Caenorhabditis elegans: one gene and its partners. The protein of the gene in region 1 interacts with the protein of each later gene in a pairwise test. Each region holds a gene or a part of one and is shown in the gene's direction. Other genes may lie near its edges.

Evidence for each region.
Region 2: the proteins of nhr-49 (region 1) and nhr-71 interact in a two-hybrid assay, tested with the Caenorhabditis elegans proteins (4 studies listed by BioGRID).
Region 3: the proteins of nhr-49 (region 1) and ttr-27 interact in a two-hybrid assay, tested with the Caenorhabditis elegans proteins (2 studies listed by BioGRID).
Region 4: the proteins of nhr-49 (region 1) and scd-1 interact in a two-hybrid assay, tested with the Caenorhabditis elegans proteins (2 studies listed by BioGRID).

The regions. Positions count from the first base shown.
Region 1 is NC_003279.8:9,866,617-9,875,789, forward strand, and holds nhr-49 (Nuclear hormone receptor family member nhr-49), read left to right. Parts: upstream 1-3,101; coding exon 3,102-3,171; coding exon of another isoform or gene 3,172-3,175; intron 3,176-4,611; coding exon 4,612-4,709; intron 4,710-5,295; coding exon 5,296-5,437; intron 5,438-6,077; coding exon 6,078-6,433; intron 6,434-6,482; coding exon 6,483-7,046; intron 7,047-7,094; coding exon 7,095-7,205; intron 7,206-7,343; coding exon 7,344-7,508; downstream 7,509-9,173. Other genes in the region: K10C3.5 (Elongation factor-like 1), read left to right, coding at 646-1,212, 1,979-2,314.
Region 2 is NC_003284.9:13,745,086-13,753,602, forward strand, and holds nhr-71 (Nuclear hormone receptor family member nhr-71), read left to right. Parts: upstream 1-2,361; coding exon 2,362-2,385; intron 2,386-2,769; coding exon 2,770-2,871; intron 2,872-3,494; coding exon 3,495-3,612; intron 3,613-3,705; coding exon 3,706-4,004; intron 4,005-4,323; coding exon 4,324-4,659; intron 4,660-4,706; coding exon 4,707-4,813; intron 4,814-4,963; coding exon 4,964-5,091; intron 5,092-5,142; coding exon 5,143-5,294; intron 5,295-5,349; coding exon 5,350-5,515; intron 5,516-5,970; coding exon 5,971-6,284; downstream 6,285-8,517. UniProt on the Caenorhabditis elegans protein: Orphan nuclear receptor.
Region 3 is NC_003283.11:12,901,445-12,906,886, reverse strand, and holds ttr-27 (Transthyretin-like family protein), read left to right. Parts: upstream 1-2,788; 5' UTR 2,789-2,803; coding exon 2,804-2,969; intron 2,970-3,016; coding exon 3,017-3,282; 3' UTR 3,283-3,337; downstream 3,338-5,442. Other genes in the region: ttr-29 (Transthyretin-like family protein), read left to right, coding at 156-342, 390-517, 567-704; ttr-28 (Transthyretin-like family protein), read left to right, coding at 1,719-1,902, 2,252-2,379, 2,440-2,577.
Region 4 is NC_003284.9:12,521,382-12,528,503, reverse strand, and holds the start of scd-1 (Suppressor of Constitutive Dauer formation), read left to right. Parts: upstream 1-2,782; coding exon 2,783-3,086; intron 3,087-7,122.

The DNA.
Region 1 (9,173 bases):
GTATCGATTTTTCAGGAAAAATCGAAAAATCGAAAAACGAAAGTTCAAAAAATGAAACATCAGAAAACGTATAATTAAAAAAAGGTATAATTACCAATAAATAGTTTCGAGCTATTTTTCGAAAAATCAAAAAAAAAATCAAAATATCGGAAAAACCCGACACCCTTGGTTTTGAAAGGTTTCAAAGTTATCTAAAAAATTCGATAAAAATATAATAAATGGGAAAAAAGGAAGCAAAGCGGAATTTTGCCGAATTGAAATGAAATTATTGGAGAACATTTTTTTTAATTTAAAATTCTCAGGTTATTATGCATTTCAGAGAAATTTTATATGTATAATTTAAATCAAAATCCTCAACGAACTCGGCATTTCGTCACAACTTTTACACCAACTTTAGCAACTTAAGCGCCAATTTTAGCGTTTTGCAACTTATCCACCAATTTTAGCAACTTTTTAACCAAGTTTAGCCAATTCTAGAAAAATTTTCAGTGCAAATTTTGAGGGCATCCCCAACTTTAACCTATTTTGCCCAACTTTAGCAACTTTTTTACCAAAATTTAGCAACTTTTGCACTTGGCATTTCTAAAGTTGCTAAAGTTGGTGGATAAGTTGCGGCGATTTGCCGAGGAACCTTCAATTTTTCAGTTGCTCGACAAAAATTCTTCGTTAATTTCATCGATTCGTCGAGGAGAAGCCGATCAAACCGAAATTGATGAGTTCCAAAAAAGATTTACATCCGTTTGTCTGGAAACGCTTCCAACATTGAAAGGATCTTGGTGGTTTCGAAAACCGAAGGAAGTGATTGAATCAATGATTGATCAAATTTGGGCATTTGGACCAGAAAGAGCAAGAGCCAATATTCTATTCAATAATGTTCAAAATTATGATAGAGATTCCGTTTGGAGAAAAACAGAATTTGGTGTTAGAAGATATGATCAAGCACTTGTCGCTGGATTTGAATTATTCTGTAATACTGGACCACTTTGCAATGAAATTATGCACGGAATAGCAGTTATTGTTGAAGAATGGAATGTTGATGAAGAAGATGGAGCTATTGGAGGACAAATGATGACTGCAATAAAAGCTTCATGCTCTGCTGCTGCTAAAAAACTTGCACTCCGCCTTGTCGCTGCCATGTACCGGTGTACTGTAACTACAGCCAGTCAGGCATTGGGAAAAGTTCATGCCGTTTTGTCACAAAGAAAATCGAAAGTAGGAATGGAGAATTGTAGAACATTTTCAAATATAGTTAGAGATTATAAATTTAAATATTTATATCCATCAGGGCAGTAGATTTTTCGCTTTTTTGAAGAAAAAAAACGATTCTATTTTAAAAACCGAAAATCCTGATAACTGATAAATTTAAATTTTACATGTTTTCAAAAAAAAAAAACACTAGAAAATTTAGAAAGAGTGCGATTTCGATGAAAATATTCAAGTTTTCAAAATAAAATTTCAAATTTACAAAAAATTAATTTTTAATTTTTTTTCCGAAAAAAAAATCCGAAATATTCTGATATAGCTCTAAAAATGACACTCGAAATTATGAAAAGTTAAATTTTGACCAAAATATTTAAGTTTTTCAATATATAATTTCAAATTTACAAAACTTTCCTTTTTTTTCAATTTTTCGGCTTCGAAAATTTCCTTTTTTTTGTTTTCGAATATAAACCTGAAATCCATGTCAATATTTAATGTGATTTGCCCATTGAGCATGTGAACGAAGTATTTAATTTTTGTAATTTTCGACGCATCTGTGCAAATAACGTATATATGGAGAGAATATAATGAATGAATCTTCTTTCCAACTATAATCTAAATAGATTTTATGGTTTAGTGTGCCGATTAAACAAATAAATACGGTATATCCAATCTCATTTATATGAGCATTTTGTTTCAAAAATTTCGAATTTTGACTATTACTTTAATGGCGTTGTATAAATACTAAATTTTAAATAAAAAATAATTTTGAATTCAGGTACTCTCCGAGGACATCAATGAAGCTACAAATTTATTCGAAGTGGTCTCCCTAATGCCCGTCGTCGAATCGTTCTCTTTCTGTGATCAACTTCGCAAGTTCACATCTGGAATGGCTTCTGCTCAACTTCAATTTTCTCACTGGCAAGTCATTGACGAGGATCCTTACTGGACGCCGTCTACATTGGAAGAAATTGAAGAATTCGGATTGAAGGGAGACAGTCCGAATCATGCAAGAGGATATATGGATGCAGTTAGAAGACGTAAAGGACTGCCAACCGAGGACCTGATTGTGGAGTCGGCGGAGAAGCAGAGGAATTTGAAAAAGAATAAATAATTTTTTTTTAGTTTCGTGATATTTTTTGTTGTTTGAATTTCCGGTTTTGACACATTTTAATCTTGTTGATTGTTTTACTTGTTTTTTTTTGTTCGTTTTTTTCAAAGAAATAATTAAATTGAAATCATCAATTTGAACTTTTCGAAAATATTTGCTCCAAAAATGTTAACTTATCATATAAGGCATATCTGAAACATTTTAATTTCACTCGGTTAACACTGTTTCATTCACGTGTGGTGGTGTCAACGACCTGATGGGTATAGCGTAGTACGGGAGAGAGGGTCGAGAGGAACTTTCTTACAATCTTTCTCTACCTCTTTTCATCTATTCATCTCTAAAGGTCTGCGCCTCTCCTGTTATCGATTGTCAACGTGCTGTGGGTGGTTGGCTGTCGTTGTTTGGTGTCTCTGTCAACTCCATTCTCTCTAGTTTTTCATATTTCTCGACATGTTTGACCAACCACTGTCTCTTTTTTGTCCTTCTAACCGACTGGCCTGCCAGCTTTAGCTTCTTCTTCTTTTTCACCATTTTCTTTTCTTTTTTTTTCGTTTCCTTTCTGTTTGCCAGTAGTTCAGCTTTTTTCCACAATCAAAAGTTCATAGATTTAATGACTGACTTTAAATGAGACGACGCCGGTCCCAATTAGCTTTGAGAGTACAAAGTACGGGGCATCGAACAACACTGAACTACATAATGTAGTCTCTCACTTCCTGTTTATATGGGGTGATTCGCAAACTCCTTGTATATACTCATCATTTTGTTAGTCAACTCATTCCGTTCTCACGATATGGACTACTTTCTTGATGCTTCTAAACATATTCAGTTGAATCAAATTGATGAAGAATCTTCAGATGATTGTAAGTAAGTTTTATAACGGACACATCAAGCGACATTGAAAGAAAGTCAACTTTTAAAATATCGACTTTCATGCCTTTTTGAATTTTCCACCAAACTGAGAACTACAAAACCAATCAGCGACTTGCTCATTGAAATCCAGAAATTAATAGAATGATTTTTGGATGGCTTCTTTGCAAAGTCCACTATATGGGTATATATGGATTTTTATACGTTCAAATAATATGTACATTTTTGAGTTTATTAACCTGGCTCTTCTAAAAGTTCTAAAGTAATTCAAATGCCCTTTCTCTTAGAACGTCATTCTTCGATGTGTCTCCTCATTTTCTACCAGAATTTACCAAACCCTACAACTGGATCCTCGTCGGTCACTTATTCGATGCATTACATCTCCTCGCTCCTTAGATATAGATCTTACGATCTTGGAGAGAAAAGGAACGACACTACTTAGCGCGACCGTCTATCTTATTCGATCCGTCGGACAAGATTGATCAAGAAGACTTTGAAATAGCATCCGCATTTAAGAATACCTCATTGGAGTGAGCAGAGAGAGAGAAAGACTACTGGAATCTTGCCGAACACATCGACCAGTTTTAGAGTGTGCCACATCAGTCCTTTTCTGATCTTCGCGTTTCCTTTTGTTTGCTCAAGACGGATGATTTCTCAATCTTCTCTACTTTCGCTACAATAGCAACACGTTTAGTCCTACACTACATCTGCTAAACTGGGAGGCTCGAAATTTCCGAGCTATCAAGTTTCGGCTTGCCCTTTCAATGTTCAAATTTCTACTTTTATTGGACTCGATTAGGATACTTTATTGAAAAACATTCTACATGAGCTTCGGTCTTTTTGAATATACGTTCAAAATTGTTCTATATTCAGAAACAATAAATTGAAAGTACCAAGTTTGTCCTTCTAGCAGTGGAAATTCTAATTATATGCTGCTGAATTATCTCCACATCCTCACCAATAAGGTCTAATATAAAACCTACAATTTCTGAACGCGGCCCATTCATCTGCCTAGTGGTCAATGCATCTCAATTGTGTGCACTTGCCGGTCCTTTATTATTAAGACAACATGCGTTCCACTCCTAAAGACACCATTGAAACACTATGACGTCATAGTCGATTTGCAATAGATACGGCAAATCGTTTTTTTTAATCCACCGTATCGTCAGGACATTTTACATTAGGCTTATCAATACTTATATTAAATTTTGTCTTATTTCTTGTGTGTCTATCATGTGTTAAAGCCATTGCATTGACTCTGATTTCTCTACTCGTCTGACACTCTCTCTACCTCCAACACTATTTCATCGTTTCCATGAACAAGTGACATTCGTCGTTTCTCTTTCACTTTGAAAACTTGCGTTGCTATCTGTTGTTTGGTTTTTTTCGTGTTTCATTTGTTTTTTTTGTTGTAAAAAGTTTAATTGTTTCAGTCATGGACCTAGTAGATCCTCTTGCGGAACCATGTGCCGTTTGTGGTGACAAATCAACTGGAACCCATTATGGAGTCATTTCCTGCAACGGGTGTAAGGTGAGAAGGGATAAATTATAAAATAATAAAAAATAAATTATATTTAGAATTATGTGAAATTATAAATTCAGTTCTCGTCACGAAAAATGATTTTGGAAATTATATTTTTTCCTTTTTTGAAAAATGAAAAATCTCAGTTTTTGCCACTTTTGGAAGTCGTTGATCAAAAAAATTGTTTCCTTATAATTTTATGGACTACTTATGTTTCAAATATTAATAATCAAACACTATAGGGATTCGATAAGCGACAGGGCTATAGTTTTCTCAAAAAGTGGCAAAAACTGTAATTGCCAGTTTTTACTGTCAATAAAAATTTTCTAACTTTTTTTGTTAACTTTGGTACCACAGGAGTAGTTTTTAAAAAACAATTTCCTCACTTTAAAGCAAAGTAATATTGACTCCACCTACAGTAACCCACGCTTTTCGCGCATGCTTTATTTGAAAACATATTGTTCGTGACGAGACCGAGTACTGTACTTTATGGTTGCAAAAGTTCGTATTAATTTAACTGGTTTTTGAAAGTTATGATTATCATCTCGAACTTTTTAATGATTTATCCCGCATTAATAAAACTCATGAATTTCAGGGATTCTTCCGCCGAACAGTTCTTCGTGATCAGAAGTTCACTTGCCGTTTCAACAAAAGATGTGTGATTGACAAAAACTTTCGATGCGCGTGTCGTTATTGTCGCTTTCAAAAGTGTGTACAAGTTGGAATGAAACGAGAAGGTATTCATTTCTCTTTCCGTTCAATATTTGAATATATCCAAAACACAGTGGCCTCATGTTTTTCACCAGTGACCTCTTTTCAATTTCGTCCGTGAAATGAGATCGGCCGCAAAAAAGATTCTAACTTGAGATATTGATTCGGAAATTTGCCCCGTTAACTCAGAATTTAGAATATATTCTTCTTTCTTTCCTTTTCCTGTCCGTAGATTCCATTTCAAAACACGATATTTCTAAAAAAAAATTGTTTCGTAGTTTTCTATCTAGAAAAAATAATTTTGGAGCAAAATATCGTATCTAATTCTACATACGTTTAAAATTTGGATGTTTTTTCATGTTTAATTCGTTATTTTAAAGAAGAAATAGAGTCATAATGACAGAACATAACTGTTAAAAATTGTATTAAATTTTGAATGATTTCTTTTTTTTTAAATTTACCAAAAAATTATATTGAAACAAAGCCACAATAAACATTACCGAAAAACGCAAAAATGTCGAAAATATAGTAAACTATAATTATATTTCATTCATTTTCGTGGGAATTCAAAAATACAAATTTTAACAACTATTTTCTGTCATTCAGGTCCATGTTCTATCATCTGAATCACATCCACGATCAATTCTACAATTTAATATATTTCAGCTATTCAATTCGAACGTGATCCTGTAGGTTCACCAACATCTGGAGCCAGTCTCAACGGGACTCCATTCAAAAAAGACAGAAGCCCCGGATACGAGAACGGAAACAGCAACGGTGTCGGATCAAACGGTATGGGACAAGAGAATATGCGAACAGTTCCACAATCCAGCAGTGTCATTGATGCTTTAATGGAGATGGAGGCTCGTGTCAATCAAGAGATGTGTAATCGATACCGAAGATCGCAAATCTTTGCAAACGGCAGTGGGGGGTCGAATGGAAATGACACAGATATTCAACAAGGAAGTGATTCTGGAGCATCGGCATTTGCACCACCAAACCGGCCATGCACAACCGAGGTAGTGAGTTGGATGGTACGTAAATTAAGAGGTCACATTGTTTTATTTTCAGGATCTGAATGAAATCTCCAGGACAACACTTTTATTGATGGTTGAATGGGCAAAAACAATTAATCCATTCATGGATCTTTCGATGGAAGATAAGATCATTCTACTGAAAAACTATGCACCACAACATCTCATTTTGATGCCAGCATTTCGAAGTCCCGATACAACTCGAGTTTGTCTCTTCAACAATACTTATATGACACGTGACAATAACACTGACCTCAATGGATTTGCTGCATTCAAAACAAGCAATATAACACCCAGAGTTCTTGATGAAATTGTCTGGCCAATGCGACAACTTCAGATGAGAGAACAAGAATTTGTATGTTTGAAAGCACTTGCATTCTTGCACCCAGAAGCCAAAGGACTCTCGAATAGCTCACAGATTATGATTCGTGATGCTAGAAATCGTGTTTTGAAAGCTCTTTATGCATTCATTCTCGATCAGATGCCAGATGACGCACCCACAAGATATGGAAATATTTTGTTGTTGGCACCGGCTCTCAAGGCTCTGACTCAGCTGCTCATTGAGAATATGACACTTACAAAGTTCTTCGGATTGGCAGAGGTATGAAAGCTTTTCTTGTTTGAATCCGTACATAAATGATAGCTTCAGGTGGATTCTCTGCTCTCCGAGTTCATTCTCGACGACATCAATGATCATTCGACGGCTCCGGTCTCTTTACAGCAACATCTTTCATCTCCGACAACGTTACCGACTAATGGGGTTTGTTTTTAATTATTTTATTAAACTTTTTATTCTAAAAAAATACAAAAATAGCGAAAACGGCCAATGATTTCAGGGAAAAACCGTAAAATTCTCTTTTTAAAAAAGATCTTCCATTTCAAAATTCATATTTTTCAGGTATCTCCGTTAAATCCAGCCGGATCAGTGGGAAGTGTTTCGTCTGTTTCTGGAATTACACCAACTGGAATGCTCTCAGCAACTCTTGCAGCTCCATTGGCAATTCATCCTCTCCAATCACAAGATTCCATTTTGAACAGTGAGCAGAATAATCATATGCTCTAATAATTCCATTTTTTCTCCCAAAACTCTTCACCTCATCTCATCTCCAGTTCTATTCCGAATCTGTGATCTTTCATCTTTTCCCTTATTGTTGTTTTGAATCATTACCCCCAATTTATAAAATAGTCCAGAGCCCAGCTATAATGTACATAACAAAAGAAGAATACCCTTCCGTCTCAGTAGTTGTTTCATCTTGAAACCTGTCTAGGCCATCTCTATATCATATCAGGTTATTGTTCTCGTCTCCCCCAACTCTTCTTCCTTAATCTTTTTTCCAGACGGGCTGGCTCTCGTTTATTCTTGTGATTATTATTGTCAATCAAATTATCAGTTTAGTACTTCAATATGTATAAGAAGTGACTGTCTTGGCATTTCCCATCTCTATTTAGAAGATTCCCTTCTTCCCATTTTCCTTCCTTCTTTTCAAGCGTTCGTACCAATTTATGTTTGCAAAAAGAAACTTTTATTTATACTTTTTCAAAGCTCATCGATAAAATACATTATTATACCATATTTTATTATTCGTATCAAATAAACACAATTGACTCATCATTATGAATTCACTCGAGAAGTTCAATGCCACGTCCTCCACCACCTCCACCAAGACCGTAAGTTTTATTGCAATTTAGAAATTTAGAAGAATTTACAAAAAGTATTGTTTTCCAAATGTTTGAGCACCTGGTGTGAGCTGCTGGAGGTGAAGCTGAGCTTTTTAGTTTTTTTTTTCAAAATTAGATTTTTTTAAATTGTTTATTTCTCTAAAACTCTTCAAATTGATGATTTTTGTTTTGATTTCAATTGACACGATCATCTAAATGATAGTGGATATATGACCATTTCCCAAGACACTTGAGATCAATTCAATGATCCGAACAGTGTACATAACGGGGTAAAAGTGATGATATGTCTATTGGAAGAGGGAAGATGAAGAAATTGTGAGCATTTAGGCTTAGGTGGGTGAGTTCACACCTCTTGGAGCACATACACTTCAGCCAGTTTTGGACATTTTATTTAGTTTTTTTGGGTTGCTTGTTTTGGTTTTTTGATATTCTTTCCATTCTGAGACAAGAATTTGGTAACTAACAATTAGTAGTAGATTTCAAAACGGTCAACATTTTATCTTTCTTTAAGATCTGTTCTTAAAATCAAATGTGAACCTTTAAAAAGTACCGTAACAACTTGTTTCAGTTTTCAATCATTTTTAAGAGAAAATTCTATTAAGAACTTGAGAGAAATTTTCAAAAATTGAAGAAAAGGTTAACTTCGGGAAAGTTGGTTACTGTACTACTTAAAGGCGCACACATTTTTGTGGCTTCAATTTGGAATAAAATCCATCGTGGTGAGACCTAGGCATACATCATTACATGTCTATCAATTCACTTTTTTCTATACTCAATCTTTATTTGTTCCTAGACCTCAAAAGAAATTAATTTTTCAAGTTATAGAGAATATTGTAAATCCGTAAAAATGTAGGACAGTTAGCCCGAAAATATTTATTTAAGGTTCTAGTATTTGCGGGATTCATGTCTCAATATTTTTCACCAATACATAAAATTTGTGGCAGTATTACTGTAGAAGTTGACAGTATTACTGTAGTAGTTGTAGGGTTAACATCTGTATTACACACTGTGCAACTTTAACTATACGATGATCGTTTTCTGACCTACA
Region 2 (8,517 bases), on another chromosome or scaffold:
TGAGATACTAAATGATTTAGAGACTTTCTTCTGATCTTACGCCGACTCTTGTTGATTTAATTATTGTGATAGAATTAACGTAGAAACTAATTGTTCTAGTTGTTCGAAAAAAAAATCAAGTATGAAAATGTAAAATTGAGATTAAAAAATTGATCTATTCCGAAAATTCATATGATAAAAAAAGGTTAGCTGTATTTCAATTATAAATAAGGTAACAAACGGAAGCCCTTTCAACTTTTGGCCTATCAAAAACTTTTTCGAGTGGAAATGAAATACAGGGTGGTCCGTAATTATAGACTACCCTGTATAAATCTATGGCATCAATACATTGAAATTGAGCTCTGAAAATGTTAGCAATCCTATGGTAATTTTCTCAAATGTTTAGTCAAGTAATGCAACAACTAATCAACTTTTTAATATACAATACATATTCCATCATTAGGATTACTGTTTTGCAATTTATGTGAAGTAATATTTAGATTACACCTAAAACCTTTAACAATGTATAAATAATTCAAGCTGCAGTGCAGACTTTTGATAGTAGTGTTTACACTTTAGAATAAAGAAAAAAATTTAAAAAGTTGAATCGTGTAACACAATTATCTACACATTTGATCACTCTCTATTATTTATCGCTATTTCGCGTCTCGGCGCCTCCTTGTAAAGTACTGTCCACTTGATTTATATCTCTTGTCCGCCAACACCTGCCAATCGATTTCCTTCCCTTCCATTTTCTTCCAATTTTCGGTAATTCCGGAACAGCGTACTTTTCTTATGTTAGAAATTAAAGTGGAATATTAGAGAGAAATAGAGAAAGAAGGGACAAACGGAAATGCCATCATTTGCGTTGTGGAGAATGTTTCTCTATGTTCCTCTCTTATGTTTGTCTATTACCGGGCATGGTTTTCCTGTGATTTGTTCAACATTTTCACAAACCACCCACACATTATTATTATACTCTTTGTATCCCTTTTTTGTTTTTTTTTTTTAATTTGTATGCATATAAATGACTTTTTGAAGTTCGAAAGATCAATCACCAAATCTTATCAAAGTTGTCTTGCCGAACAAAATTTTATTGTTTGCATTTATTTCATTCAATGCATATTATCATATTACCAAATATGGTGGCAGGTCAATCGATTTTCCTGTTCAACTTTAAACCATAGTCGAGTCAAGATAGGATTAATTGAAATAACTGCAATTCTAAAATCGATTTTCCGCGTTTTCATTGATCAGTATCATGACAATACTTTCACTCTCACCACATTCACCACTATCACCACCGTCATCAACGCCATACTTGTTTGCTTGAAGGTTTTCGAGACTGTCTTCAGTTCGTCAGCTTAAAATCATTCCGCGTGATTGTACAATCTTTTTTGACACTTTATGATAGTCTTCTCTGCTTTTTGTGGATGGTCGAAATATCAAAGGAATCATTTTTAAGCGGGGCACAACTGATAAAAATCGAGGGAAATTCATAATAGGAAAAGTTAGATTGCAACTTTTTGGTTTTGAAATTTTTTGCGATTTATTTTTTTAAGGCGTGAAAAATACAATATTTCTAATTCTTTGCAGTTCGTAAACTTACCAGCAAATACTTTTTTATAATCAAAGTCCACGGTTATCAAAAGAGGCAATTGTTCTTTTTACCAACTCAACAACTTTTTTCTTGCTCCCCCTTTTTCTTTACGCTCTCTTTTACCTCTCTCTCTCTCTCACTTCTCTCACTTGCAAAACTGTTGCCACACAGTCGCCATCCTCTTCTCAACTAACCTTTGCCACGCGGCAACTGAAAGTGCGCCCTATTGAGAATGCCCACCTTGCACACCAAACACCATTTGATCGAGTTGTCGCAACTCATTGCGTTTTTTTGATTGATCGTCCCTCTTATTTTGTTCTTTTTAATTCGAGCGATTACGTCGCGTTCAATTTGAAAATGCACTGTTTCCTGACATAGATTTTCAATATTTTTATATCAAAACCCGTGCAAAAACTGGGAAAATTTGTGATGTTTGCCTTCATAGAACATCCGTTATTGTGTGCTTAGTAATCGAAAAAAAAAATCATTTTTGTGTTAGAAATTGGCAAGATTCTCTATATTTATATCAATCAAAAAACAAATTTCCATCCAAATTCTCATATTATCACCTCCCGTTCTTTTTTTGCATTTATCTCTTTGCCTCTCCACCTCGCACATATTCATTTCTGAATTAGTTTTCTTTTCTCCAGCTGAAAAGCGAGCCGCCCAGCTAGTAGGAGCCGGTGACAAACAAGTCGTCGATCCGTCGGAGACAACAACATCTCCACGCTGCCCAGCGGTCTTGAAGTTGTCGAATTCAGGATTAATCACCGGATTGGATGATGAAGGATGAATATAACTCGCAGGTATAATTTTTTAATACGGAAAAAAGGCTTCTTCAATTTTTATAATTTCTTGCAACCAAAAAGTTGGCATGGCACATAAAAGAATGCTCGTGAGAATTTTGTCATTTTTTCATGAATGACTAACAAAAGAGGGCTCTGTTCCATTTCAGATGATGATGTATGTGCAATGCTTTGAACAAAACCAAATAGAACTTTGTAGTAAAAACGAAATTTAAAATTTACAGAGAGAGCCAAATATTGAAATTTGAGCTCTTTTACTTTTTTATAACATGATAAATATGAGGGAAGCTATTTAACTTCAAATATTAAAATATTTTGTAATATTAATGAAACTAATATTTCCATGAGAAAATTTGAAATCTTATAAGAAAACTTTTATTCCAGGAGTGCATGGTATGCTCAGCTCCGGCCGATGGACTTCATTATGGTGCAATCAGCTGCCGTTCCTGCAACGCATTTTTCAGACGAACTGTTGTGGAGAAGGCGGTAGGTAGCACTAGATAGGAGTTTATATTTGTTTTTTGATCAGTCTCAAAACTCAAAATGTCTTGTTGCTCTTTTTGTGGCAACACAATGGCTGCTGCACAAAAATCACTCTTGATCTTACAACTCGTCTGTGAAGAGCGTATGCAAACATTTCCATAAGCTCATTGGGCTTTCTGTTGTTTCTTCATTTTAGCGATCTAAGATCACCTTGTTCCCCCGGCAAAGGCATCAATGATGAGAGGAAAATGGTAGCACACCACGTGTGGAGGGTAGAGATGGCTAGCTCTGTTGGTTTTGGTTTTCTTACTGATAAAAATTTTGTTATTGACTTAGTAAGAACAAGACGAGAAAAAATCGATCTATGAAGCTAATACACAAAATTAGTTAGTTGTGTATAACTTTGATGTGGCTAAACGAAACAAATAATTATAGTTCTGGAGATATAGATTTATTTTGAAAATACTGAGTTTATTGACTAGTGAGCAAAACTGTAAACAATTAATGATAATATTAATTTCATCTTTAGACTTAGAATATATTGTTCATTAGTTTTCTATTGGAATATAATACCTTTCTCCAAATCTCAACACCATATTTAAACTTCACCATAACCGTTTTCAAAGCTCTTTCAGGAGTACCGCTGCAAGCACACTAACACTTGCCTGATTGACCCGGATGGACGATGTGCCTGCAGATCTTGCCGGTTCACCAAATGCATCGAAGCGGGAATGAAAATTGGCGGTTAGTGAGCAAAAAGCACCTTGAAAGTTTCGGCAACCAACAAGCAAATATCTACTTCCTGGTGAGAATGAGTTGAAACTATCATCTTTTCAGCTGTCCAGCCACGTCGTGACCCAACTGGCTCGCAGAAAGAGCGACGAAAACGTGCCGGAGGCGTTGGTGAGATGATGTCCATGAACAATAGCCCGTTGGAGCGAAACGGCAATAGCTTCTCGTCGGATGGTCCGACATCAAACTCATTCATTGTTGATGCTATCAGGACAGATTATGGGTTTGCAACACCACGCCGAATCTCCACAGACTACTCGAACTCGCCAGACAGATATAGAAAATATGTCAAAATTGAATTGGATGATGAGCCAATTCCAAGCACGAGTTCTGCTCCAGAAAAGGTAGCGAATAAATTACTACAATGGTATAACTCTGGTGTCGCTTAAAAAACTGATAACTGTCATGTAAAAAATCGATAATTTTAAAACCTTTTCAAAAAGTTTGTCGCTTTTACAACTTTTGTCTGTGAAAAAAGCTATGTTATACTCGTTTTTTAATTTTTGTTTGAAAATGAGTAAACATTGAAGCTACAGTGTGGCCGATTTTGGACGTATATGAGCACATATTTTTAAACAGTAGCAAAACCTCAATGTATCGTGTACAAATGGGCAATATGTTTTATGATTATTTTTAAAAAAATTAAGAAAAAAATTTTTCCAGCAGTCCTGCCAAAGCAGTCCTAATGACGACGAGCAGCAGGAGTTCAACCACCTGGTGTACGCGTTTGGTGAACATCAACGCATGATGCAACTCTCCTTCTCCACGTTTGAACAATTTCTGGATGAGCACAGTAATGGGCCAAAACTTCGGCGAATGGACCCACTCGATGTGAGCAAGTTATCAGCTGTGGAGTTGACTGGCCTGTTGTACTGGATTGAGAAACAACAACCGTACGGAGAACTGCCGGTGGAAGATAGATCATCGCTGCTCAAACGGTATTCTGTACGGAAGCTCAGTTTGGACCATTTTTACAGTGCTTCCAAGCATCCTGAATATGTAGGTTGCTAAATTTGAATTTAACAGAAGAATAATTTTTATTTTAGTGTGCTCGTGGAGAGTTTGTCATGAACAACTTTACATTTGTGCCTGCGGATCGGACCGGATTCGAGCTCCCCGACGATGATCCACATCAGATTCAAGCAAAGAGGGAGTAAGTATTACCTTCACTTCAGCTAAAAGCACCCGAAAGGGGTCACGAATCACCAAAATACCACTTAACCTATGTCGTCAAACAATTAACGTCACCTAACCCTGACGCATTGAGAACTAGAACACAACGCCTCTCGTTTTTGAATTCTAGACATTGCAGAACCTTCGCGCCGACGTTCAACCGATTCTGGAAGAACGTCATCCGTCCATTTGTGCTGATGAAGGTGAACGACGCAGAAGTTGTGTTTCTGCACATTATGCTTCTGTGGAGTGTGACGAGTAAGTTGAAAATTGGATTTTGCATTCTTACATTTGTTCAAAACATTGCAGATAATGAGCATGTGACGGAGGACACGAGAAAAGTGATGAAGCAGAGACGTGATTGGGCAATGAATCGACTTTTCGACTGGTACAATGAGCATGGAACATCGGATCCTCCCCTACGATTTGGACAAATGATTTTATTATTAGGAGAAATTGAGGTAAGATTTTATTTTCCAACTTTGTGCAATAAATTTCAATTTTCTACGTTTTCAGCTCATCTGTGACATGCATTGCCAAGACTTCCAAGTGGCGAAGCTCTTCGAGTTTTGTGACATGAGCAAGTTCTGGTACGAAACACTGTGCTACGCGCCGTGCAACACAAACGTCCTGAAATTCGATCCGAACCTGCTTGAGAATTTGAAGAGATTCACCGCAATTAGTATGTTTTTGAACATATGACCTTTGGGAAACAAGAGTTTGAAACAGAGATGACAATTTTGTTAAAAGCGTATTGGAATTCAAGAAAAGGGGTTTTTTCCGTGCAGAATAATATTGTATTTTTTTGACACACAAGTTAAATTGAATCCAAAATATGGGTTTTTACTTTTTGTATGAATACAATCGCCATTAGATCGTTATCTTTATTTTTAATTATTCAATTTTCATCAACTTTTGATAAAAACATTTCTAATAAGAAAGTCCTTGTTTTAAATTAATATGATATTCAAATATAATAATACTGAAATTATTTTCGATTGACTGTTTAGGCAAATAATAAAAATACGCAATAAAATAACTAATGTACGTAGTTGGAATTTTAATCTAGATTGTAGAAAAACCTGTATTAAATTTTTTTTTTAATGCATATAAAAATTCAACAAGCTGAATTTCCAGGTGTCATGGAAAACAACGGCGGTCTTCGTCCATTTGTGAAAACAGAAATCAAACAAGATCCGGTACTATACAGCTCGCCAGAAGTCATCGCTCCGGAAAGCTGCTACAACGACTATCAAACGGTGGATATACCGGTGGACTGTAATCCGCACACAGAGCCCGTATCCATGGATCCCAACCTTGCAAACATTGATCCTGCCGTGCTCGTCTTCAATGCTCATATGCTGCCAAGTGTGATGGCGCCATTGCCCGATGATGCGGATTATCATCGACCGCAGCTTTATCACACGCAAAGTGAGGAAGTGATGACTTGACTTGTTGAATTATATTGCCTTCCTAAATCTGATGTCATATACTCCCTTTATTGTTGATTATATAGTTACTTTATTTAGTATTATTTAGTGTTGATTTGTTCCCCGGTTTGATTTTCAATCTACTCTTCTGTATAGGCACAATTGCTCCCCCTCACTACCTTCAAAACTTTGTCAATTAGTCACCAACTTCCTTTTGATTTCCAATGATCTCAGTTTAAACGCATTCCACTCATCATGTGATAACTATTGAAAATTTCTAGTATGAATTGATGCACGATTCGAAATATTTAACTACTCAGCGTTGTATTTTGAGATAAACATTTACGGTCCCCCCCTCTCTGATCCCTAAGAACCTTTAGAATTTACATTCTTCCAGTTTCCCGACAAATTGTGGTTACAATTGTGCAATGAAATGTTTGTACTTGTAAGAAGTGTATTTTATATCGGTTTGAAAATATGGAAAATTTTCAGGAAAGATCCATTTTGAATATCTGAAATTGTCTGAATCTGAATATCTATCTAAGATATCTAGAATACCTGAAAAAACTGGCGTTAGATGAAAAGTGAACGGTTTTCACGAGATTCAGGGATTATTAAGGGTACACTTCAAGTTGCTGACTTAATTTCAGTTCTTTCAATAAAAGTTTTCTGACTTCTTTTAAATCAGTAAATTATGAGGTTTGACAATTTTGAGATTTATTAAATTATGTTTTTCTGGTAACTTATTATTTGTTAACGGTCTGTTCTCTATTATATTTTCTGTGCTTGTTAAAAAACATAAAAGTATAACACTGATAATCTAACAAATAGTTTGTTTCCTTTGTTAGTTTAATTTAAAAAAAACAATATGGTTGTGGTGAGACTGAAATGCTTCACACTTACAGGCTGCCCTATTATAAAAACCGTTGGCTTCGGCTTAGGAAATAGCCATTTCTAAGACTAAAAAGGGAAAATGCACATCACGTTTTATTAAAATGGATAAATAAATGGTAGTTGAATTTATTTCAAAAATGAGGGGTTACAATACACAACTGCCATTGTCCTAACAATTAGCTGAAGAGCCTTCCCCATATGCCAGACTAGGGACTGTTCAATTCGTTGAGCAAGTACTATATTTTAACATTTTTTGCCATTAGTCGTGCTTTCAGTACCTAATTTTAACTTCTGGTGGAAAAAAATTTTAATTTGCAATGGCATCAAAACATTTTACCTTCATTGTTGTTTTACAATGAAATAATTTGTACTGCAAAACTTATACTCAAATAAAAATATTTCAATGTTTGAGAAAACTGCATGAATTATTAGAAATGGCATGAGAACGGAGATCGTCCGTGGCAGCGATAAAAACCATTCAATGCATCAAAAGATACTGATATTTTCCAAATTTGATATCGCATTTTGCCCATTCAACATGAAAAACTGTTTGATTTTTTACAATCAAAACTTTTTTTCAAACTTCTTTCACCAGTTGTATTTATGTTGCCAGTTTCCTTTTAATCTTTTGATATCATTTCACACTCTTCACGTATCGAAATTTGCATATAAAATCGATATGTCATATTTGCGTCTGTTTCCGCCAATCCACCGCCACTCTCCGCACATAGAACGTACACGTTGTAACCAAGGACTACACATACAGACTAGCACTTTGCTTCTCTGTGTTCTCTCTTATTTATGTGATATTTCTTGAATATTTTCTGTTTGATGAGACAATGTTCAATTTAATTTTTTATGTCTCGTGTTTTCTCTATATTGTTTCTCTAAAATATTAAGAAGACTAGATAAAAGTACTACTTTAATAACATTTTTTTTTATTCGGCAGCTTTTTTACTTTTATGTAAATATTCGAAATACACTTTTTCAAAGCAAATTAATTTGATGTCCGTAGAGCAAATTATGGCTTCTTGCTAGCTTTCTAAAATAGAATCGATTTTTCAAACGATTTGAAAATGTCAAACACCATTTGAAACCATTAACGGACTGTTATTGAAATGAAATGTCAGCTGATGTTTGACTATTGTGAAAAAAGGGTTACCTCTAACAAGTCTGTGATCGTGTTGGTCTTTCTCTGACTTCTCACCACAGTCTGGTTCATCGAACAACCTCTTTGGATTTTGTTCGTCATAAATAAATAACTCTGGGAAACATCAGACATCTCTGGTAATCCTCTTGATTTTCAAAAATTGAGATCATTTTCCAATTCAAAGTTCCTTACATCGTTTGTTTTCTTCAT
Region 3 (5,442 bases), on another chromosome or scaffold:
AACAACAACAATTTTCTTTTCAAACAAACAAAGAAAAATCGTATTAACTTTGTAGGTAACCTCCGCCCAATATTGACTTAACTGCACATGTGAAAGCAAAGACAAAACCGTATTTAAGTCAAAATGAACATGTGAAAATCATAGTTTAACACGTCATGGTCATAAGGTTAGCTTCCCTTCTTGTCGCCTTGACATTGGTCTTTTGCCAAGAAGACAATGAAATTGTTACCAAAAACTTTCTCGGCATCGGAAGAATGCAGGCTGTAGCTGTTTCTGGAAGACTAATCTGTAATGGACGACCAGCTACAAATATTAAGATCAAACTGTATGAAAATGAGATTCGTAAGTTCTACTATGAAATTGCCTTCCGAAAAAATATTACATTTGAGTGTTTGATCGACTCATGGAAGAAAGCCGTACAGATTCAAATGGACAATTCAGAGTTTCTGGCTCAAAACGAGAAATTTCAAGGATTGACCCAAAAGTCAACGTTTATCACAAATGCAATTATAATGGGGTTAGATTTGTGTGTTTGTCAATTTTTTAAATTAAATGTGAATTTTCAGTTGTGCTCCAAAAAATTCACTATAAAAATTCCAAAGGATTATATCAACCGTGGTAGTCAAGCAGAACGAACATACGATATAGGAACACTAAACTTGGCAAACAAATATCCAGGAGAATCTACCGATTGTATTAATTGATTGATTTGGTTACTTTTAATTACACATATTTTCAAATAAACTATTCATGAGCAGGTCTTGTAGAATAATTGAATTTAATAGTAAGTATTATTGACTTTTTCAGCCGCTGCGTTTCTTGTCAGACAACAGTTATTCTGTAAGATAATTCAAAAAATTGTAATATTGATTGTGGCTCAATTTTTTGGGCTACTCAAAGTTACCATAGCTGGGCTATGCGGCAACCAAAAGTTTAAGCAACTGGCCATTATCGCCGAAGGTGCTGAAAAGTTTCATTCACACGAAACTGTCGGTTGTCTAAATATTTCGGTAACTTTTCCGGACTTTGTCGTTCTTTTGCCAATTGCCTAACATTAATTTTCTAGTACCTGTGTTTCAGAGTATTTTAAGGAAAATTTATTCACTTTTTTATTTACAGTGAGTTGTTTGCAATTTCCATGATGTTCGAATGCTTTTTTCAAAACAAATAATATATGTATTTGATGTTGACATCACCACTGGTTCACAAGTTGCCGGTTTCTGCAAGCTGAATTTTTTGTCAACCTGCAACTATCGGTTGGCAAAATTTGTATGATAAAGTTCTTATAATACTTCGTGTTTCCTCTGACTAGTAATACACTTTTTTGAAGTCTGTGAATAAAAAAAATCGATTTTTTAACCTGCGTGTAAACCTGCGTGCTCACAAAGCAGAAAACACAGTGCGAAGGTGAATTATCTTTGAAAATTGTTCAAGAAATGTCTGTAAGTGTTTTATGACTCAACATGAGATTTGTGAAATTTATGTTGACTTAGCTACCATTTTGTTATTACCATGTGTTGCTCACTCATCAACAAAAACCACCAAAAGACCAAAAGTACGAGAGCTCGAGAAGTGTCTCTAAACACAGAAAAATCTTCTCTCAAACAAAAATCACTTAACACATGTATGGGCAACAATGTTTGCCATTTCAAAAATGTGAAACAAAAAAGTTTAAATAGTCCTGACATATGAGAGAAAAGCGTAGTTTGGATTGAAAAATGTTCATAAATATGTTAGTTTTTTCTCTGTTATGCGTTTTCGTTCTTGGACAAAACGATCCAATTGCTACAAAGGATGTATTAGGAATTGGAAGTATGCAATCAGCTGCTGTATCAGGAAGATTGATTTGTAACGGGAGACCTGCGGTTGATGTGAAGCTTAAATTGTATGAAAACGAAATATGTAAGTCGCTTTTCAATCATTTTCTACAATTTTTTTTCTATACATACAAATGTTTTTTATATTGTAATTCGAAAAAAAAATCCAGTTGTTTGGAGTCTTAGAAATAATCTCTCAAAATCACAAGTGACTCTAATAGCAAGGGCAACTTTCTCAATAAAAATTAAAAAAACAGTTCTTGAAATTCTATGAAGGATACGTTTTTAATGCTCTAACACAACCGACTGATGAATCTCCATTTTTATCAGAAAATCGGTCAATATCATAGATTATCTTGCTTCAAACTACTATCCACTACCACTATGGCATAACAATTATATTTTGATTGCTTGATTTAAAATTTTTTTTCAAGTTTTCGATCGATTGATGGAGGAGGGGCGTACTGATTCGAACGGTCAATTTCGAGTGTTAGGATCGAAAAGAGAAATCACAACTATTGACCCAAAGCTAAATGTTTATCACAAATGCAATTACAACGGGGTAAATTATTTATTGACATTTCAGAATCACTGTTTTATATTTTGGTAATTTTGTTTTTAGCTATGTGATCAAAAATTCACAATTCACATTCCAAAGGACTACGTCACTTCCGGTAGTCAACCATCACGAACTTTTGACATTGGCACATTGAACTTGGCCAACAACTTCCCAGGCCAATCTACAGACTGTTTAAACTAAGAAGTAAATAAGGAACCGATATAGTTCAGCGACAAACCACCGAAAACTTTAATTGTATTTGAGTATTTAACATTTGAAAATAAATGGTTTTTCGTACTGTGTGCCAATAGTAATTGTGTAAATAGCAATGTCTCTTTCTTTTTTCATTCCTTTCTTCAGCAAACACCTACCGTTTCTACCATATAAATAACTGTTGAGACGACAAAATTTCAGTTCAAATTTAAAAATGTGCTCTTCCCCGACTACTTTATTTTTGCTATTTGCTCTTGTTTCTACAAGTTATGCTCTATTGGGTGTTGGCCGAACACAGTCAGTTGCTGTATCTGGAAGAGTTATCTGTAATGGACAACCAGCATCTGGAGTTAAACTGAAGCTTTATGAAAAAGAATCAAGTAAGTTATGAATCTGAAACTTAGTTTCTGATTAAAATTTTTTCCAGCCTTTGATGTACTTTTGGAAGAAGCAACTTCAGATGCCAATGGACAATTCCGACTATCTGGATCAAAAACTGAAATTTCAACTATTGATCCAAAATTGAACATTTATCACAAATGCAATTACAATGGTCTCTGCTACAAAAAGATTGGAATCACTATTCCAGATAATTATGTTTCATCTGGAAAGACTCCAAGCAAAACTTATGATATTGGAACATTGAATTTGGCCAATCAATACACTGGACAAACAACGGATTGTATTAATTAAAACTAGGCACTCAAGTGATGTATTGTAAATAGTTGAATAAAATTTTGAAATTGTATTGATTCAAAAATTACTGATTGAAGTACATTCTTTATTGCCACACACCTGCTCCGAAGCCGTGGAGTATTGACATTATTCGAAGTGAAACTTGTGCATGAAAACGATTAAAAACTTCGTGTCGAAAAATTTTTTCCGTCTTGAAAAACATCACGTTTTTAAAAGTTTTATTTCTAACACAATTATGAATGTTCTGAAAATGAATGCCTTCTTTTATCAGCTACCACCACACCATTTCTGGAATTACCAACTGAATTTTTCATGCCTCTTTTATAATTTATTTTGTGTTTTGAATAACAAGTTTGGCATGTTTGCTTACAGATTCTAAATGTTCCATGAGTGAAGCTAGTAAAAAGGCAAAATTGTGTCAAAAATCCTAAAACGCATTATTTTCCCATGGGGTTCAGTTGTCGAAAGCGTCCTTCGCCTTCTTTCCTTCTCCTTCTTCATTTTTTCCTCTTCCAATTTTCATCCGTTTAGTACTACTACTACAACTACTGCCACCTGTCCATTTATTTCCAGTCATCTGTCATTTATTTCCATACAAAACCGAATGGCAATATAATAATTCGTTCGTTTTCGGAAGAGGTCGTGGAAACTTGATTGCATTCGAATTTCTTCCCCTCAAACTTGTTCCGGATATCTTATAATGGGCAGACACTTTCCTATGCAAATTCCACTCTCACCCGTTTCGCGCTCATTTTTGTGTTAATCGCCGATGGCCGCCGTTTCTAAAGAGACGCAGATTTGTTGGTCGGCATAGGAACTACCAGCTCTTGCAGAAAAAAAAAACGGAATTTGTTTTAGGCCGAGAACTCTCGGGGGTTCATTGTCCCTTGTATTGTTGGGTCAAGCTTGCCCTCGTATAGTCGTAGATGATGAATGTTTTCATGGAGATTCTACTTCTTATTCTGCAACTTCTTCTTTTTCTTCTTTCGAAAATAAAACAAGCCATTCGAAAGTTTTGAGTTGCTCTCTTTTCGATGTGTTCTGGTGGTCTAAATTCTATGTTTATTTTGTTTCTACTTGAATGACACTTTCGGCTTCTTCTTCTTTTTCTATAGTTTCCTACTAATATTATCGTTTGCATCTACTTTTCACAAAGGTTTCTTAATTTGATACTTTGCTCGAAACCGCAGACTAGAGGTCGTGTTCAGTTGTTTTCAAAATACCTTAATACTTATTTATATTAATTTATCTATTGAATTTAGTCATAATTGTTCTTGGAATCAATTTCACTGGTAACGTTTATAAGCTTAACGTTTTTGCTGGATTCTGCATATAGAGGGAACTTTTTCAAATTGGAAAAACTAATATTTTTGAACTTTCACCAAGAGGTGATAAAATTCTTGTAAATATTTTAGTAATATGCCTATTTTGCAAGATTCATAATTTCTTCTAACTGAAAAGTTTGACTCTTTGAGATGTTTAAAAACACTCCTTTGGAACTTTATTTTTTCAGAGCATTTGAGGAATTTTTTAATATTTTGCGATCGTATATCTCCCTTTCCAAAATATTTCGACTTTAATTGCTATGCATGGCTTGTCCATACAGTTGCAGTTTCAACATATAATTTTTCCGTACTATTTTCAACGTACCTCAACTATTATTTAAAAAAAACACTTTTAGTTTGAGTTATAAATTAGTTTTCTACAAAATTTGTCAAAAAATATTTTTTACTATGGAGCAAGCCAGGAAAATTTACAAAAGCGTTGTACCACAATTTCTAGACTTCTCAAGAAGGACATACATTTCTGTAATGAAGACTCTAAGAGAATCACTTGTATTTTGCAGAAAATAATAATCTCGCTAAAAGATAAGCCGGCGAGCACCAAATCGTTTTTCAAACGTAATCCTTATTGCGTAACTAACTCAAATTAACCATCTCAATCACCGATGATCGGATTAATTAAGATAACTCACCTGTCAATTGAGTTAATTGTGCACTCTCCTACCCAATCTATCCAGATTACATATTCATTTTTTCAAAGAGCTCTGCAATCGACGTCGTCTATTCTTTCTTGTTCAATCTCTCCGAATGCTTAACACAATTTCCGGACAGTCGGTTTCAATGGGTCGCTTGATTGAGAGAAAGTGTATGTGAA
Region 4 (7,122 bases), on another chromosome or scaffold:
ATACCACTAGCTTATATTTGTATACCTAAATCTTTTGGGCTGGAGTTGGCAGTCAAGATCATGATTGAACTTTATTGTGCAATTGCCCCAGAAGAAGATAGTCCTTGTAAAAAAGAAATCTAACAAAATTTTAAAATTTTATATCAGTACGATTACGGTATTTGGCAAACGATAATTTTTCAAACAACATTTTAAACTAGTGAGAATTAATAAAACTTACTTTAGATACTTAGATACTTAGTCGATCCGTTCTTCGCCTACGGCGCGGAATTGTTTTATTTTTCTGAGATGTAGGATAAATAGTTGGCGTACTGGAAGTGAAAACACTGTATTTGGAAATACTATAATTGACTTAGTGGTTGTGGCTCTTTCGACAAAAACGCCACTTTATTTCAAAACAACAAAGTCCCCATCATGATCACTGAAATAGTCAAAACTGCATAGTTTTAATCAATATCATGTTACTCCAATATAGTGTAAAAATACCTAAAATCACGTTTTCATACATAGGCACATAAACTTCAAGTCAAACTGATGCCCTAAAAATACACCAGATTAGAAAGTTTGGGCAACAGTTGATTCAATCAGATCCAGATATTGTTTTTAACTTGTTTAAAATGTGTAAGGATTTAATGTTCTATTTTTACTAACTAAGTACGCATGAGACAAATGTACTTTTTTTTAATTTTGAAACCACTTTTACATGTTTTTTGGTATCAATTGTTGAGACGGCTTCGTTTTTTCTCACTCTTTCATTTCTCTAAGCAATTATTTTTAATTTTGTTGTTAAACATACTTCGAGCTAAGAAATCGTTTTTATAAAACCAATCTTGACGCAAATTTCAAATCTCTTTTTTATGGGGTAATTCCCGGAAAAGAAAAACAAAACTAATTTCAGAGCAAATCATTATTATGTTACACGAACCCGGTAACAAAATTAAATCGGAAACCCCGTAGGTAATTCTATATTTTACTCATAGCCAAAAGTTCAAGTTCTAGTGCAAATGCTGCAAAAGTGTATATATCCGTTCTTTTTTTTCCAATTCCTTGCCATCGAGAAAAAGAGCAGTTTCTAACCGAGCTGCCAGGTGCCATGATTAATCGCCGTGCCAAGATGAAAAGATTGAATCCATTCTCTGGATTGCAATTCCCATTTCATTTTTCACTAAAGAGGATTTTTGACCTCAGGAATTTTTTGTGCTCCCGCGGTCTTTCCTTCACTTTTTCTTTTTGCTCTTTTCCTCCTCGTCATTCCCGACTTGCATTTTTCTTACGGCAGGAAAACTATAAAGGAGCGGAAGGAAGAAGGAAGGAATGAAAAGAAATATTAGGGAAAATACACGATGTGAACCTTTTTTTATTGTTTCCTCTTCTTTATTCTCCAATCGACAACTATCATACTCAACCATAAATCGCCTCCACTCAAAATTCCTCTGGTTCTGAAAACGATATTTTCTGATTTTTGAGCCTTTGTGGGCAAACAAGGCGGAAAATTTTCGAGAAAAATGGAAAATAAAGAGCGATAAAATTAATTCGATTTATCACAGGAACGGAATTCTTTTTCAGAGTCCTTCCATTCATTTCGGTATCCCACAACCACTTTCTGACATTCGCATGCTCTTTCTTTTCTGAAATTTAAGTGAATTTTTCATCAATTTTCACTTTTCTATTTTCCGACTTTCCAGTCGTTCTAAAACTGATTGCTGCGCAACCTCGTTTTGTCCGGCTTCTCCAAGGTAATGCAAGGCGGTCCGCAGGATGACCAGCACCAAAAGACGCTCTTCAAATGGGCCTGACTCGGGAGACAGAGGAAGAGGAGAATTTCCTTCCCCTTTTTTCCCCATTCCCACAAATCAATCCTCCTTTGTTCTGTTTTGACACCACTGCATGCGTTGCGTACATACGTGTTTTGGATGTTGTTTTTTTCTCGATGAGTTACTAATGTTTTGATGATCTTGTCGGGATCAAGACTGAGATGCCAAAGAGCAAGATCAAAATTTTGTAACGTTGATTTGATTGAGCTGATTCAGTCCTAACTGTTTTTTTTACTTTCTAACTGGACTCTGTGAACTGAAACTGTTGTATTACTCTAGATTCAATATATTTCAATCTACATGATAAAATGTATACGCGAACTGTAGCACTAAAATAAATATACTGTTTATATCTAAATTATTTTGTAACGCACAATTTTATTTCCCTCATTTCCCTATTTTAAGTTTTCTTGTAAAAAATGACCAGCGTAATAAAATGTTCAAGCTTGTAGATCATTGTTGCTGCTGATGGCTGTTGGCTTAAAACTGAAACAGAAATTTCAAAACCTTCTGGCATGTTCACGTAAAGATCCAAATAATAATAGGAATGTTCTTGAGGTTCGGTACCAAAACAAAGATTCCGAAACCGGAAGTAAAGTTTTTTTAAAATAGTTTAATTACAATCTACTGTATCACGCTAAAAATACATCATTGCTACTAACGTTAATTTAGTAGCGTAGATAATTTTTGAAATGTAGGCATTGTCTGAATTTCCAATTTTTGCGTATCTGCATCCCACTCTTTGTCTTCTCCCGGCCCATTTTCTTCTTGATATATGAAAATATGTTGTTGATTTTATGAGAACACACGTCTGAACAGTTATGATTGAGATAAAATAATTTCAAGTCTTTGCTTTTCTTCTTTTTAGAATGATTAGATACTACTGATATATTCCTTTTTTTTCAGAATTCGTTACACTTATCAACCTGCAATCTGTGATACCATATCCGCCTTATAGACATAACACAATGTGGTTTAATGGAGGACCACCGGGACCACCTCCACATGGTCCTCCGCCACCTCATCTTCTTCACGCACTTCCACATCCAGCATACCCGCCGGGTCATCCACTTCACATGCCAGGAATGACAATGATGCCCATGGGTCCAGTGGGTCCGCCGATGATGGCAGGGATGCCTATGAGACCGATGCCACCACTTCCGCCAATGACACCAATGGGTTCGATGCCACATCCAAATGATGGTGGTCCGCATCCGATGATGCTTCCTGGCGCGCCGATGACTCAACAGCGTCAGAGGCCTGGTATCAGAGGTACGTTGCACTCTTGCACACTTCACACATAACTGAACTCATTGTTTTTTCTTGATAAACTTTGTCTAGCTTGAGTTTTGAAATTTCTAACAAACTTACATGGAGAGAATGTAAAAGGTTCTTGTTGCTCAGCCATTAAATTGTTAGTTCACAGTATTACATTGCTTGATGATCTTAAGACTCACTGAATAGAAATATCTAGGAAATAAACTGTGATATTGGCAATAAAACGAGTTTCAAAATTATGTTTATAACCAAACTTCTGAACATGTTAGTTTTCATGACCACAAGGGGAATGATAGGGAAATATTATCAAATTATGTGATATAGGAAATTCGAGAACAGTTACGTCCCTGACGTTGATTTCAAAAAGTTCTCGTCGCATTAGTCTGGAATTTAGTTCTTACGTGTTATCTTTTCCCCAGGTGAATGATATTTTCTAGCTCTTTAAACTAGATTTTCACATATTCTGAAAAGAGCTTCCCCGATCTAAATGTCTCACTATATCTTTTTTTAGATGATGTGTGTGAGAAACCTGCAATTTCAAAGGCGCTTCAAAAAAATCCGCACAGCCTATAATTTTGTGATTTTCTAAATTGCGCATGTCTAATTATAGTCTGCTACCAGATGTTTCAGTAATCCTTCCTGTCACGGATTAGCCTTATTGGATTTGTGCAAGCTACGAGGGGTTTCTCGAAATGCGAGATTACGAAATTAGACATTGTTGATGTATTTATGTTATGATAACTTGAGGTGACTACGTAAAAACTAATACAAGATGTGTTTACAGAAATGAGATTAAGCTTACCTGCAAGTATATAACACCATGAAAATCCGGGAAAATGGCAGATCAAATGATACGCTTTCACTTGCTAAATAATAGGCTATTCTTGTTAAAAATTGAGCATACCTTTATTATCTTATGATTGCTGCTTTCCAGCATGCACAGATTTCTGAATTATAATTTTAACGGAAACTAGAAATATCTCAAAATGCTGTTAAACTTCCACGTGTTGGGATATGAATCTAGCAAATATATTAGGAATCTCTCACAAATTTCTAATCCACACCATCAATATAGACAGCTCCTTTCGGGGTTTCAAGCTTTAAAAGGCTCAGATGGTTCTATGTCGGTTTTCAAAATACCCCTTTTAGGGTTAAGTTTTTCAGAATTGAATTGCCTTTTTGAAACACCACTTAATCATCTATGGCAACCCACACTCAGAGTCAGTTGAGCAGTGATTAACTGTGACTTTCAAATTTTAGCTATCAGAAATTTATCAATCTGTTTCTTCTTTAAGATAGCTAACTTCTCTACATATATGTGAACACATATGTTTGAACACACGATTATAGTCGTATTACGAATTGTTGTACAAAAACTTATTTGTGTAGTTTTATTTAAAGTAATGCATGCAGATGCAAAAATTAACCAAAGATCTGATCCCTTCTAGGAATACAAATTCTGAAAAGAATTATCGCTTTACGTAAGGATAATGTCAGATACTGCGATCAGAATACGTGTAGACACGAGCATATTGAAATCATGATGACTCCAGGCTAAATTCAAAAATTTACGTCGATCATGAATATTTGTTTCAATGGAATTTACTAGTTAGTCTAGCTTTAAAAACTTCAAACTCAAATTTTAGGTAAACAATAATTACCGTCTCATATAATATTTCAAAATTTCAATTTTATAAGTAAATACTAATTATACCAGTCATTATTAAAGAATACACTGTATTTTTCTGGAAATTGAAACTCGTGTATTAATTCTGTTAGAATATTTGCGATATATGTATATATATATATTTTATTAATTTTCTGATTATCTTTAGAAATTTTTTTTTGAAAATCTTCTTGATAAACTCGTTTTTGCAAACATAAGCTACACAACCCAAAATCCATTCGTACTCTGGTCATGGGGAACTGGATGCTGACTACTACACAAAATGTGCTTCACACCAATCTTATATCTTATCACCATTTATCTTTTTCTACTCTCCTGTATCTTCAAATGATCGATCACCAAAAAAAGTAGCCCGCAAGCCAAAGTCCGTAGGTACTTTGACCTTGACAGTCTCTAATTGATTCCTTGTACACACGATCTTACTGTAACCCTAACAAAAGTTATCAGTTCGCGCTGTCCCACGGCCTTGATCACAGTCACAGGAAGATGGGCGAATGGAATCTAAGGTAACATAAAATACGCTCGACCATCTGATGATGGACGGAATTAGGTGGGAGGCTGGGCGGCCGCACCATGTGATTGATTCGAACTTTGTAGTCTTACACACGTTTGCTTCGATTTAGAAACCGAGAGAAAAATAGAATTTTGCCGAAAAATGAAAAACAGTAGATGGGAGGAGGGATGAATTTGTCTTCTGTCACTTTTTTCTCTATTTCCCTAGTTCCGTTATTTTTCCTAGCGTTCAATTCTGATTTGCAACTTGCCAATAATGTGAGGTTCCTTTTTTGTCCCAAGCATGTTTCACTGATCAAATGATTGCCTTGTCACCGCAAAGATCAAGCACATATTGCTCCCTCCGTCTGTACCTCGCTCCGTTTATTTGTACGCTTTTAATGATTGAGAGGTTTGCAGAACGCGGAGGAAATGTTTTCGGAGGAAAAAATAGCCCTGTGTTTTTCTGATCTTACAATTCGAAACAAAAAACCATTCCAATTTTCACAAACTAATAATTGTGAGCAATTTGGGTCATATGTTTTAGATTGTTGTGAGTAATTAGAACCAATCTATTTTACAAAATAAACTTCAGTATAATTTTTGTTTTTTTAATTACAACATTCCAACGGTGAGACGAATTTCGGTCACATTTCCAATGCAAACACCGCAAGAATTAATGAGCGGTTTACACAAAAGATATATCCTAGACAAAGCTGAACAAAGGTTCAATTTTGAAATAAGTAGACAGCCTAAAATAAACGTTGACACTGTGTATCGTTTACTGGAATCTAGCTCCATTTTGGCTCAATTTGGATCGATACTATATTTGTTTTGTAATACTTAACAAAATATTATGCAGGACGAGACTACGGCGAGTGGAGAGATAATTGAAACCCATTTCTATGATGCTAAATGACTAATAATGATTTTTTTTAATTGGAAAATTTTTTTATTGCCGAGCTAGGCGAATTTGCCGAATTTGCCGAGCACGTGTAATAGTCTAGATAGTTGAATGCTGAACTTTTCAATCATAATTAGAGCATAAATTTAGAATAAATTATCATTACTTATATATTAAAAAATACAGTTCGTCTGTCCATAGTTTGTAGTCTATGTAGTCTTTGTAGTTTGTGACGTCACACCCAAAGTCAGTGAGAGTTGTGGGCGGGGCCTGTCACCTTCGTGGTGAGACCCATCGTGGTGAGACCCTTCGTGGTGAGACCCATCGTGGTGAGACCCTTCGTGGTGAGACCCATCGTGGTGAGACCCGTCGTGGTGAGACCCTTCGTGGTGAGACCCATCGTGGTGAGACCCTTCGCGGTGAGACCCACATTTTTGGCGGGAAATTCAAACTTTCTGTGAAAAAAATTTTGGCGGGAAATTCAAATTTTCAGTGAAAAAAATTTTGGCGGGAAATTCAAATTTTTAGTGAAAAAAAATTTTGGCGGGAAATTCAAATTTTCAGTGAAAAAAATTTTGGCGGGAAATTCAAATTTTCAGTGAAAAAATTTTGGCGGGAAATTCAAATTTTCAGTGGAAAAAATTTTGGCGGGAAATTCAAATTTTCAGTGAAAAAAATTTTGGCGGGAAATTCAAATTTTCAGTGAAAAAATTTTGGCGGGATATTCAAATTTTCAGTGAAAAAATTTTGGCGGGAAATTCAAATTTTCAGTGAAAAAAAAATTTGGCGGGAAATTCAAATTTTCAGTGAAAAAATTTTGGCGGGAAATTCAAATTTTCCGTGAAAAAAACATTTGGCGGGAAATTCAAATTTTCAGTGAAAAAATTTTGGCGGGAATTTCAAATTTTCTGAGAAAAAAATTTTTGGAGGGAAATTCAAATTTTCTG